3 linked regions of the Styela clava genome follow. The protein of the gene in region 2 binds, or shares a complex with, the protein of the main gene of each other region. Links are inferred from orthologs where the notes say so. Each region holds a gene or a part of one and is shown on either strand. Other genes may lie near its edges.

The links.
Region 1: DNA replication licensing factor mcm7-like (region 2) and DNA replication complex GINS protein PSF1-like share a complex: the UniProt entries of both Homo sapiens proteins name them as parts of the CMG helicase complex. The link is inferred for Styela clava from reciprocal best matches to the Homo sapiens genes MCM7 and GINS1.
Region 3: DNA replication licensing factor mcm7-like (region 2) and protein downstream neighbor of Son-like share a complex: the UniProt entries of both Homo sapiens proteins name them as parts of the replisome complex. The link is inferred for Styela clava from reciprocal best matches to the Homo sapiens genes MCM7 and DONSON.

What each region holds. Positions count from the first base shown.
Region 1 is NC_135253.1:5,304,092-5,308,761, reverse strand, and holds the start of DNA replication complex GINS protein PSF1-like, read right to left. Parts: upstream 2,893-4,670; 5' UTR 2,234-2,892; coding exon 2,159-2,233; intron 1,855-2,158; coding exon 1,790-1,854; intron 1,410-1,789; coding exon 1,308-1,409; intron 1,092-1,307; coding exon 1,001-1,091; intron 592-1,000; coding exon 508-591; intron 61-507; coding exon 1-60. Other genes in the region: uncharacterized protein LOC120326422, read left to right, coding at 3,931-4,053. UniProt on the Homo sapiens protein: Required for correct functioning of the GINS complex, a complex that plays an essential role in the initiation of DNA replication, and progression of DNA replication forks.
Region 2 is NC_135256.1:12,816,974-12,821,643, reverse strand, and holds the start of DNA replication licensing factor mcm7-like, read right to left. Parts: upstream 3,054-4,670; 5' UTR 3,006-3,053; coding exon 2,960-3,005; intron 283-2,959; coding exon 206-282; intron 1-205. UniProt on the Homo sapiens protein: Acts as a component of the MCM2-7 complex (MCM complex) which is the replicative helicase essential for 'once per cell cycle' DNA replication initiation and elongation in eukaryotic cells.
Region 3 is NC_135250.1:31,954,433-31,959,102, reverse strand, and holds the start of protein downstream neighbor of Son-like, read right to left. Parts: upstream 2,998-4,670; 5' UTR 2,910-2,997; coding exon 2,783-2,909; intron 2,610-2,782; coding exon 2,500-2,609; intron 2,264-2,499; coding exon 2,155-2,263; intron 1,700-2,154; coding exon 1,433-1,699; intron 21-1,432; coding exon 1-20. UniProt on the Homo sapiens protein: Replisome component that maintains genome stability by protecting stalled or damaged replication forks.

The sequences.
Region 1 (4,670 bases), on a different chromosome or scaffold from region 2:
TTGTCCATGATCCTCCACACACCTAACTTCAATGTATAATGACTTGGGTGGCGTCATGTCCTGAATATAAATGAAATTGAATCAGAAAAATGCAAGAAAATAATAATATAATATACAGGAATGGCCAAAACCCAATATTTTACTATTTCGAATACAATTTGAAAAAATATACACACAGCTTTATTATGGAAAGAATTCTTTACTTTTATTTAGAAATATTCAGATAGAAAGCATTCAAATTAGTATTCAATATATATAATTTAAAGCGGTAAATTAAATTATTCCTGTTTGGAAATTTATCGCTCATTATAAGCATTTGACATGAACTAATTCAACTTCTGCCGCAATAAAATCGAATTCAATCATATCTCAAATATTTTGCATAAAAAATCCAATTCACAATAATTTCTGAAAATTACTCCACCAATCCAGTACATATTCGATATTCCATAATCTAAAATTAGAAGAGTAAATGATTTGGTTTTGCTATCCATCTTTGATACCAACCTGTGTTAGATCAAGACCACCCATTCCACCGATGGATCGCATGTAGTTGGCAAGAGATCTGTTGTATCTCGTAAACCATTGAATCTGATTTGATAGAAAAACACAACTTTTATTGCCAACTGGAGTTAGACTCATTGACATACTTACAATGGCATTTCGTACAAAGTTTTGATGGTGATTGTAATCAACGAATCTGTGAATGACTATAATATTTAATTATGACAAAAGCATTATATTGAAATAAACCTGGTAAGAAATATTTTATCATAGGTCACAAAACCATTTTGTTATAAATTAGTTACTCCAATTACAAAATACTATTTCAGTACTTCATAGCTGTTTCGGAGTATTTACAAATATAGCTTATTACTATGCTATATGATTGATAAACTAGTAAATATACTTGAAAATTATTTAGATAAAAATTATTTTGAAATTGATACAAACATGAAAAAGCACAATTAAGTAGCCTACATGTATAGATTATACTCACTTCTTTCTCCGATAAATTACTCTTGATTTCTGGAGGTAAAACACTACCAAATTCCCACCTCATATCTCTGATTTTATGAAGTCTATTATACCTGAAAAATGATTTTTGCATCTGCATTCATCTGTTGCAATCTGACAAAATAGCTTGTTGGTAACTTAAGAGAATGTAAGGGGCTTATTTATCACCCTAAAGTCATGTCAGGTACTAGTTATCAAGCCCGGTCAATGTTTTGAAATCTTCAATTTTAATATTAAAAGGACTTCAACAGATTGTTATACACAGATATTTTAAGCAAAATAATACATACAAATAGGCCAGCAGGCAACGCTTGTTTCGTTCCAATCCACTGTGTCGTATTTTAACTGCTGCCATTTTACTTCGATCTGAATCTGGATTCACTAACTCAGCACTGGCATTAAAAAACATTGTTCAAATCAAATAGGTTATTGTACGACACATAAGTATATTCAGGAGATCATATCTTATTAATTAATCTTTTAATTCGAATAAGAAAATTTGTTTTAAGAGTAGACCATGCTTATGATACTTGTGAACTAACCCACAGCAGACTGATTTGAATTTCTTTATTAACCTCGTTGACAAATGAGAATGCCATATGCTATACTGTTTTCACTTCCAATGGGCATATCTTTTATAATCTCTGATACTATGGACACCTTTTTACCATAACATTATTTTTTATTTGCTTTATATGTGTGATGTTGCTAAGGCAACTCTCATATATGAATATTGATTGGTAGAATAGGTTCCATTCATTGTCCAACTTACACATCTTTTTGATTAGAGTCGTAAAGAACTTGCATTTCTTCTAGTACTTGTCTAACTCCATCTTCCTGCAAAATAACAATAAGCAAAACATTAGAAGAGACTTTTCAACTCTCACAGCTAGGGTTCAAATCCAATGCCAATCCTTTCACCAAGTGTACAATGAAATTTATAAGGTTCACTTGAACCTGAAACATAGCAACTGCCTGTAATGAGTCTTGTTCGGAGCCAAGATATGTAAACACCCGATGAAAATACCACAGCCTTGTTACCAAAGAAACTTTTTATATATAAATATATTGAATTTAAAAGTTAGCAGGCTGCTGCTCATATTAGGCCTTAAAGGTGTGAGTGAAATTTAAAAAAACTCACATTGTAAGGCGTTATCGGTCCATCTTTATTCCTGTACAAGTCTCTAATGAGTTCTAAGCCTTTCTCACCAAACATTATAGAAGGCTTTCAAGACCATTCGAATCTAGAACAGCTACTTTTCAATTTATATTGCAGACTGAAGGTGTGCTTAGCTCAAAAGTTTTCATTAAAATGAAACAGATTTATTTTATTCTGCAGTGGAAAAAATATTTTATATACATACCTGTGGGACATTTTGGTCAGCCAATCTAATATTTGTTATTACTGTGTAAACCAAAGATTTAAATCTTAATAGGCCATATATGTATGTTCATAAGCCTCAAAAAATGTGAAAGTATCCACATAATAATTAAACAGTATAACAGAGAGGGGATACATGTTCAATGCCTTACTGGCCAAGACACAGTTGAACAACCTAATGTACCCATAAAAAGCATTTACCGGCAGTTCAGAAATTGACAGTAAGTTGGGACCAGAACTGGTCATTATGAGACTGCGATTTAAAACAAGTTAAAAATAAAAAAACAATGGATAATTTAAAGAAATTAAACAAATTAGGGATTTGTAGAAATCTTTATATATGATTTGGAAAAAATCTATATAGGGAAAGAAACAATTGAGACACAATAGATTGGAGCAAAAATGTGGTTTTCCTTCTGGCGCAGCAGCCCTGAAATGACCAAGATTCACCATGTCCTGATGACATTCAGCTGTACTCCTGTACGATATTTATTGCTGTATTGTCACATGCAAAATCAAACCAAGCAATCATTTTTATTTGAAGGAAAAAAATTAGGAGATTCTCAATAAAAGGATTGTACGAACGCCAAAACTCCATGTGCAACAGGCCATATGAATTTTCGAAGGTGATGAAAAAGAGAAAACTTTGACAAATAAGGGAAAAACTTTGGCCCACGGTCGCATTTTCGCGCAGATGTCGAAATAACTGTCCTGCAGTCGATTCCTGCCACTTGACTTTTTCTAAACCTAACACAAAATGCATGCTTAACTTACATAAAGTTCATTAATAAATGTAAATTTCATAAATACTTTCCCTTGATAGACAACTCATCCTGTCATTCCAACCTGTCACTTAATTCATAAATTCACATCCAACCAACACGACCGACAGAAGAAAACAGCAACAAGACGTCGAAAAAATCGCGCGACTTGTTGTTGGACATTCTTAGTGACCCGTGAAGAAAACGTAAAGCAAGCGGTCGTCTCTCGTCGTCGATTAGGAGACATAACGTGCCCGTATTATTTTCAGAAATATCCAACATTTCGATTGGAAAGTAACGACTCTACGAACTTTTTCGTGTTCGCAATGTGTTCGAAACTTTTACACCCTGTCATTTTACAAAAAAATACGGGCGTGAATTGTATCACTCTCATACAGATTGTTTCATTTTGGTTGAAATTGTCCAATAATTACACTATTTTCACCAACTACTCGTAATACCCTGGCAAAAAACACTGACACTTAATCTATTTGTTTTTATAAGTTATTCAAAAAACAAATGAATGAATACTGGTATACAGTAACAATCGATTTTCCCAAATCTTTCTGGACTTTATTTTACCATGGCCGACTGTCATGCGTCGACCAAATGTTTTGCTCTTACTAAATGCGTGTACTTGACAGGTAATTCATCTTATTCATGTGCAAGTTTATTCTACTCTCAGACTCTATAAACCTTAAATTGATCTGTCTGTTGGTCAGTCTGAAACTAGTCTCCATTTAATCTTAGTAAGTTTCACTAATACCAAAGATGAATTTTAAGCGCAAAATCCCGAAGATGCGACAAAATTTTCTTCATTTCCAAATGAATGTTGGCTGCAACCTCCAGGATAGCTTGTCTCTGATTAAAAGACCAAGAAATCGTCAGAGCAAGGTAAAGTTGATCACATGTGGTTACACCATTAAAATAACTTTACCACCACTTGCTTACTTCTGCACCAATATTTATGTATCAATTTTATGAATTTATTGAACTGTTACAGACTATAATCTGTATTATTGACCAACCACTGTTTCAAGTGTTGATACTGAAAATGTTATTTAAAAGTCTTGAAATCCAATATTTTTACAACAATTACTGCTTAAAATATGGTTGGCTACAGATATTAAAATTTTTTTTTTTAGATAGTTTAATAACGCATTCTGCAGAATTATGACATGAGTCATAAAATAATGAACTTCTTTATCTCATGGCAGACCTGGTGCAACTGCTCTTATATGTCTGATTGAGGTCCCCCGCAAATGGAAAGCAGCTTCGATTTTAAGTGCCCATGATTATGTATTGCTTCTTGCAGCGTTTGAATAATCAACAGTTGCAGACAAGCCTCATCTATACAAATCCTTTCAAATCTCACATTTTCTCTGATAACGTACCACACATGGTGTTGAACTGTCAAAAACTTTTATACCCCTTTTGTACCCCTATTATAGCCTATTGTTTGTCTTTTAAAATTCCCATTCCTAATAAACAAACCATTCACACTTGAAGGT
Region 2 (4,670 bases):
TGTGTAATACAATTTCAATAGTAGAATAATACAAGAACCAGACTTCATAAAAATTTCATCGGCTTTGGCAACAACGTATGTGTTAAAAAAGCCATTGAAACGAGCTGGAATAAAATTGTTAGTTTGTACGATCAGAGTCAAAATTTGGGAGTAAATATATTCTGCCAAAAATTACATTAAGTTGATTTAAATAAAAAAAACTTACCAAAGCTTTTCCATATTTGAAGCACTTTCCAGATCCGTCGTCTTGACAAAATTCTCCCAAAAATCTTTTAACTTTATCTAAACGTAATTATTTAAACTTGAAATATATAAGAAATTGGTAGAAATTGAGTTTTCGGGATTTTTGCTCCTTAACTTCACACGTGCTGAATAGGGAAATTCGAATTATCGAGCCAATGACGAAATAAGTATCCGAGCAACGTTCCATTGCGTGACAACGGCAAACTATTCTACCTATCTGGATTCGTAATGGAAACGAGATATCACGGCTCAAACGTCCTTCCACGCCGCTCTTCGTCCTATTCAATTCAGGAATGTAAACATTGCCCAGATCTTCAACCATGAAACTTACCCAGGCGACCGTTAAATAAGTGAGAGAAATAAAGAAACAAACTGCGCTCCTCAAAAGACGCCGAGTAGTAAAATTATATTCCTTTTAGTAATGCGATCAAATAAAATGTAGTCTCGTTTGTTTAATATACTGCCGAGTTCCGACACCAATATATCACACTGCGAGGTAATTCACTTCACTAAGTTTCCAAATTTTTTTTAATCAGTTTCTAAAAACCACCCATTTCAATAATTTACGCATAAACTCTTGAATTTATATTCTGTTTGTCGTTTATATGTTTATTGGCAACTGAATTCAAGTAGTTTTTTGCCAACCGAAAAACGAACCTCAACATTCTACATACTACATACTAAACTGAATCGATATTTTTCGAAATCATTATATCCTGGCAATATTTTACCTTTCTTGCACATAGGATACTTTTGACGTCTCTTATCTAATAATCTGTGAACGCCCTACGCCTAACTAGTGAGCACCGAAGCGAACCAGTTGCCACTCACGACGATAAGGCGAGGTTTACGCTAGCGTACCGTGCGAAGAAGAACGCGCAAACAGCTGTAGGCTTCGTAGTAATTAAAATCTTTTATCCTCTTGCGTTCCCTGAGTAATAGTCATAGAATTGGCCTGCCATCACTGCACATACGTCATGAGATACCGCAAGCTACTAATATATTGCCAAATTGAAGCGGAGTCGCCGAACGAAAATATATTGCAAGCTACGAGCGCGGAGGATAGTAGCTAAGTCTAAGGTACTTTGTCGCCAAAGCTTGCAAAAAAACTGACAAGACAGACACGGGCTGATGGGCACGGCCTTATTTGAGAGAATTTTAGGTACTTTATATTGACCCTTTGAACACTCGCGATATTAAATTGCATTATGTTCAAGTCCTGAAACACTAGATTGACATAAAACGGTTAGCAAAGTTAATCTACCGAAGACGATAGATCGTCTCGCTTTCATCGCCAATCGAAGTAACCAACGACAATTTTGAAAAGAGGATCCCACAGGTGATGTCATTCGACAAAATGCCGCCGTTTGCTAAGAGCGAGTGAGCGCGAACGTTTCTTGTTGTGTTAAGGCAGCCGGGCGTTAAAACTTTTTCGTGAAGTCTTCAAAATCGTAGATGTCCCGAGTGTCAGTTGTAAAGTGGCGATATTGAATAGTCGGTGGCGAAGCCTTATATTGCGCAATAAATCCCCAACACGCGGAACTGCAGTGGTGTATAGTGTTTCCTGAACATTTACTTTATCAATTACGGCCACCATTAGATAGAAAACGTTAACCCAATAATAGTCAAAAGCAAAGCGGATATTTCTAATTTTTATTAAAATCTCCTCATAAATGTGGGATACTTATATCAGCAGGCCATAGTTAAATTCAGCAAAGTCTGTGAATTTAACCCCAGAATTAAATAAACGGAAGAAGTTATTGTTATGACAAGGAAGTACTTTTCTGAATATAACATCGTTAGGGGTACCTAATTTATATGTTTCAAGTGTCTCAAAATTAAGGTTTGCATAACAATGTGATGGGAAACAGACATAGATCTGACCCTAATCGAATGAAGTTGTATCTATATTTAACTGCTATAGTCAGGGATTCCATCAATCTGGAACCCAAAATAAGGAAGACTGGAAAAATTTCTGCATTGTGAGCAGAAATAGCTGGCTTTCCTATGGCCTCCAGGTTAATGTCACAATTACAGACATCACGGTGTGCGAAGCACTCACCCTTCAAGCTTTGTTTAACTTTAATTTTTTTCCCTTATTCATCGCGAAAAACGTTTTTACGTTTGCTCATTTTTAAATTTAAGCTAAAATAACCACCACCACGACAAAACCTAAGGATCGCCACACTAACAAAGCTTCATGCCTATCTGTGCCTTGCTTCTTTGTGTTCCAAATAAGATTGTGTTGCTTTTTATGATGCCACCAAAATAAGAACAAGCAAGCCAAAAATAGGGACGCGAGCCAAAAATAAGGACAAATCTTAGAAATAAGGACGGTATGGAATCCCTGGCTATAGTTTAATGTTATTAATTTATTTTAAATGTTATAGACTAATAAAGCTATAAAAAACTTGTGCCGATTCCCTCCTTGAACACATTTCGAACAAAAAATTTACATAACAATTGAAGCAATTTGATAGGCTGTCTAGTTTTTTTGATAATGACGGTAGACGTTAGTCATCTTGACATAAACTTCACACCTTGGATAAAATTATGGATTAATCATTTTTGTTTGAAAACACAGTTACTTATCTACAATACATGCTGAACAAATTTTTGTACTTGAAGTAGGATATGGTATTTCATTTCAACATATGATAAATATATACTTACATGTAATTCCGGTATTCTAAATTAAAAGAAAAAAAAAATTCACCTTTTTCTGAAGGATAGTCTCGTTTCTTGTCTGATCCAGTTGCCATTTTAGATAAAACCAAACAAAATCAAAATTGGAAATTATAATGCTGTAAATATACAAACAATTAAAGTTAGCATTCGCTTTCATATAAAATAGTATTCTTCAAATTCATCCCAAGGAGGCAAGGACTTATGTAAACCCCTGGCTATCATTCCATTTCCAGGTACATGGACTTACAACCTAAGTGAACATAGAGAACTTGAATTATGGTAATAACAAGATTTACATATTTATCCGGTGGAGAGAAACTATTTTGGTTTATCGACCACAAATTGTTGTAATAATAATGTAGGATAAAAGTAAAATGTTTATCATTCAATAGTGTAACGGGATAAAACCAAGTCAGTCATTCCGGGCAATATACAAAGATGAACAAATGATAAAAAATATAGTTCATGAACTCATATACAAAACTCAGATGAAAGCAAAAACAATAAAATTACATAGTCCTAATAAAATGATCATTACACACTACATATTCATAGACCATCTAATACTTGCTACATAAAGGCATTGCCGGATTCCCAATATCAATAAGCATACAGCCACGATTCCCCAATGACTCAAAACCTCGGTGAAGATTATCCCACAAATTAGACACCAATACTACAATGGACCTCAAGATTCATGCAACTAATTATAAATCTTGCATTTGAGTTAACTTAAATATCCGAAAATGCTTTTGATAAAATATTTCGACTGTTGCATCTAGGTAAGTATAGAGTTATAATATTGGCAGATTGGGTTTACTTGGCCTCGAACTTGGTAAATTAATTAATGCAACATCTCGATAAAGTTTAATATAAGCACTATAATAAATTTATGGCACTCAAGATGTTATGTTACAGGAAAAAAATGAATTAATATCATTCTATTACGTATGCTAACTCAAACTTTATGAATCGGCATTGGGACAGGCCATAATTATATAAAATTGTAAACAAAATATTTTTTGCAATTAACTAATTCCATATAAACATTCTATGTAGAGTATTTATCTAAACTTAATGATTATAACAATATCTAGGCAATACCATTTCTCTCATCACGACATATTCTCTGAAATGAATGAATGTACAAAATATCTTAATAGAATTTTACATGCATACATCTCAGTATAAACCAATTGATAAACTTAAAATGTCAATAAAAGTAAACAAAAAATTACTGATAAGTTAGGGTGGATTCAAATTTGCATCAGTTTGTAGATTTGTGGAAGACTAAAATGTCTTCTAAAATGAAATGCCAATATTATTCAAAATCCTATAGAATTTGAAATGAAATAAACAATTAATATTTACTATCACTAAAGTGTGAGATATTCCAGAAACGCAGCAGGAACCAGATATATGGAAAACCGAAAAGATCTATTTCCTGAATTTGAATGTCACTGGAAGACTTTATGAATTAATTATGTTTTTGAAATTTTAACAGCTTTCACAAAACTGAGCTGGTCAACATACAGACATAAGCAAATCCGAAAGTTAAGATTCAAGCACAACTTCAATCAATTTCTTCCTATGGAATGATTTAGTAGAGAACTTGCCAGCTACTGAGCTAGCAGTTTGTGATGTATATATTCATTGCTCTAAATGTATAGTTGCAACAAACAGCTTTTGATTACTGCGTATACTGACATAGTTAAAAATAGTTTTTACAAGTACCAAAA
Region 3 (4,670 bases), on a different chromosome or scaffold from region 2:
CGCATTTGCTTCTTCGGCCCCTGGGGAGGAAAAAAATTAATTATTTTAAATGTTTGTCTCACATCTCTCATAGAAAACAAGATTCCAGACCAATGGTCTCAACCTGTTTTCAAACAACCAAAATTGTTTTTAAAAACTAATTTTGTCATACGCTTATTACTTATCGATTTTAATCGGTAAGTATGTTGATAGGTATTTGTCTGTCTGTATGTCTGTTAGATGCACGCGATATCTCATGAAAGCGAGATTGAATCTGCTCCAGATTTTGCATGTGCATTCATCGTATCTCGGACCAGAAGCCTATTGAATTTGGGCGAATTATGTCATATAATTAGCGAGTTATTAATTAATTAGTGATGGGACACAAGATGTCACTATGGAGTAAGAGCGCTGTTTTAGGGGAACCCCTAACTTTCGATCGATAAGTCTTCGGTCTCTGACCGAAATTCTCGTTTATCTGTCAATTCATTATCTATATATTTTTGCATATTTGCTTGTTTCATGGTTTGACGAAAGGAATGAACTTTCTCACTCTCTTGTAGAATCTCGCGACCCAAGAATATGCTCTGATACTGAACAACATGCTGTTGATCACAAAAATAATGTAATAACGTTATAAATTTAAAAATATGATGTGGCAAGTAATTTTTATTTATTCCCTTTTTTTAACTACCCGTATGTAATTTATAACTTCTGTATGGTTGTGTGTGTGGGTGCGTGTGTGAAATATTTCAATTATTTTAGGTGAGTGAACACGTACCACATCTTCTTGGCAAAACCTTCCATCTTGTATACACTCTGTACGTTTTAAACCTTATCTAAGGTTTCGTTAACTCTCCCGATTCCATAATCAGTTTTCAATTATTTTTTTTTACCAATCATTTTATTGTTATGCTGATTATGGAGTCGAAATAAACTTATACTTATAATACAAAACAATCATTTGACATCATCATAAATTACATACCGGTAGTTGCAATAATGTTTGCCATTAGCAAGTTTTAAAAATTGAGGCATGGTAAAATAGGCACTGCCAAGTTTCCCACATACAGTAGAAACTTCACTTACAAAACGGTTTCCGAAACGAATTGATTTGGTAACACAATTCTACTGTACACAATTCGGTACCAAGATGGCGGACATCGGAACGTTGCGAACGTAGTATGGGTACCAGGTTAGGGTTAGGCCATAATTTTAGTTACAAATACTACAGGAGTCACTTGGCTAGTCCTGGAACTCGTAATAGAACTAAAATAAGGAAAATTGGAATAAAATTATGGCCTAATCCCAACCTGGTACACATTCTGGCGTCTGCCATCTTGTTTCACATACTTCGGGAGTGCCCACAATTATAATCAATTGAGAGTTCAATATTCAAAAAAATTCTTACTCAAAAATAAAACTTAGAGCCAAGACAACATGTGGTACATACCTTTTATCCTACTGCACCAAGCGAACGTTGACTTTGACAGGAATCTAGCTTTACGTTTGATTGTCCAATCCATTGGTAAAGTCTCTGATCCGACCAGCGTATTCGCTTCGGTTCTTGTGTTAGTAAATATGCCTTGGATCGAGTCTTCTTCCAAATATACAAACGGCATTGCCGGATCTTTGGCTTCGGTTTGGTTGGAATTGTGGTGGTTGGAGTCTGAGATGATGTGACTGGAGTTTGAATTGTTGGTATTGCTTTGATATGTGCCTGAATGTGGTTGGAATATAAATTTGGTAAGTTAAGAGGATATGGTTTATATATTTATCCATCCCCAATAAGACAGTTCAATCATATGGCGACTTGTGGCCTCTCGTCCGGTTACCAGTCAGGAATAGAATTAGTTAGTCAGTCGTTTGTTCTCATAACATGAACTTGATAGTGGAAGGATCTATAACTAACCAGCGTTTATGTGAACCACCCTACAACGGCGAGGAGTCCAAGAATCCTCTCCAGCTTATTTGTTTCAGACACATGGACCTGATGGCGAAAGAATCTGTAACCGACCAGCGGTTGTATGAACCACCCTACGGCAACAAGGAGTCCAGCAAACCTCTCGCACATGAATATCCCCGCATGAGATTCGGACCTGCCGCAGTGGCGAGCGTATTCCTCAACTAAGATAGGTATTACATCCTTGTATGTTTATGAAACAACATACAGACCTTCATTGGTTTTCAAAATTTCATCTGACTGATTCAGCGGTATTTTCTGAGGAATATTTTCAACATTTCGTTCGTATTCTGAAGAAGATAAAATTCTCTTCTTGATTGCCTGAAAGTTGTGAAATAAATATGAATAAACTAATGATTATTTTAATTCAGGGAAAAACCATGTTTATCAACAAAAGTTATTGGATAATAAATTAGTAAATGTTTAGGTTTTTGTTAAAAAAACAAGCGACCCAAGAAAATTTGCAGGTGACCCAATTGCGATAGGTTGATAAACACTTGTTAAAACCACATATTGTGAAACTTAAAATACTCATATAGACTATAACACACACTCACATCTGCGCTTTCGGAAGCCGGCCTTTTTTTTGCAAATGGGTTCTGACGTTTAACTGAAGAAGTTTCTGAATCATTTTTCTTCATGAGCAATGGACTAGCGTTAGAGGTTTCTGAAAAAAATTTAAAAATATTTCAATATAGTCCATTTTAGTGTAATGGATGCCGCTGAGTCAATTTTCGTCAAACATTATTCTGTTTTGATTTGTAATTTCAACATACTGACATATCAGATTCGCTAGTGCCGAGCCTTGTTCAGAGAAATTGTAGGTCAAGAAATACTAACCTTGGTTGTTTAGAGATAGGTTTGACAACGATGCTCTTCTCACGTTTTGACTTTGTAATTTCCTGAGTCGTATTCTTCTCATTACACCATCCGGTGTCCGCCATTGCACAGGCTTGTCAGAAGCCATTATATACACGTAGCCTATTGCTGTTATTCAAGTATAAATAATCGAAGAAAGCTATACCGCACCAAGTGCAGAAGTGATAAGTTAACTCAAACCTACAAATTGAAAATAAAATGGGCAGCTTTAGATTTAGCCATTAAATATTGAAATAAGAGTCAATTGAAGCTTAATAACTGCTGTAGTCTAACTGGCTAATTTTGCTATTGAGCTGTTGATATTGATGCTTTATTTCTGTATTCTGTGAGACTCCTAGCTTAATAGTTTTTTTTTTGGCTAAATGCGGCAAATTCCTTCGCCTGTGAATACAGAAATAACAATGTTCTTCAAATTTATCTTTAATTTTCACATGTCTGCATGGTGATGAATACTGGAATAAGTTTTAGTCTGCTTGTTTGCTATTCTACATGACCTTCTGCATTTCAAATGGCGCGGCGGTGTGGCTCAACGGGCTAAGCGTTAGGAATACGCTCGCCACCGCACCTCTAATTACTCTGCGAGGGTTCGCAGGTTCAAATCCCATGCAGGGATGATTATGTGCGAGAGGATTGCTGGACTCCTCGCCGTCGTTGGGTGGTTCACGTAACCGCTGGTCGGTTACGGCTTCCTCCACCACCAAGTCCATGCTTCCGAAAACAAACCATATACCGATAACTAATCCCATACTTTCCTCTCCTCCGGGATAAATATGTAAATCCTATCCTATCGGATCTATCCTAAATTGCATGGCCCTTCTCAGATCAGCGGTGCTGTTTTATTCCCAAAATTTAATCTCTAATGAGGGGTTGTTTGTACATAATTAAGCAGTTAGCCTAACTTATGGCAGTACTGCAGTATGGTGCCGCTATTCTTCCTGACTCAGTAACTCTTTATAGCCCCAGCTGCCTGGACAAAAATGAAATACTTCAATTTTTGAGAAATAAATGTCAGGGGATTTCCCTATATTGGTCTAAATTTTGGCGCCCTAAATTTTGACCACTAAGTGTCAGAAGTGAGCCGCATGAATTTATCCGCGCTTTTCACCGGTTCTCTCAACAGCGTACCGTATGTTGGGTTATGAATTTCATATTTATCCCGGGGAGAGAAAAGGCCGATAATACCGCTTAATTGATCATATGGTGAACCACGGTCTTCCGTTCAGGTGGATATGGAAATAGTTGAACATTTATTCATTTCACATCTTGATGACAAATAATTTTTTCATATATCCTGCGACAAGGGTCGGCAACCTACGGCCCGCGGAGTGAAATAATCCTGCCCGCGTAGCCTCACTGAATTATAGCGACAAAACAGCCGTTTTCACGATTATATTATTCACGTAACAGTATTTATTGCGAGAAACGTGTAAATTAAATTATAACCTAACAAGTTAGTTTGTTTAATGAGCTTACAATGTACCGTAATTATGGGATAGGATTTACATATTTATCCCGGGGAGAGGAAAACCGATAAGACGGCGTAATCATATGGCGAACCACGGCTTCTCGTCTGGTTACTATCCTATGTCGGGTATGCGGTTAGTTAGCTAGTTATTTGTTTCCGAAAGCATGGACTTGATGGTAGAGGAAGCCGTAACCGACAGGCGATTACGTGAACCACCCTACGGCGGCGAGGAGTCCAGCAATCCTCTCACACATAACCTGCGAACCCACGCAGGGTAATCAAAGGGGGAAGTGGCGAAGGTATTCCTAACGCTTAGCACGATGCAGCACACTGCCGAGCCTATTGAATACAACAGATTGGAAAATAATAAATGCTCGGGCAATA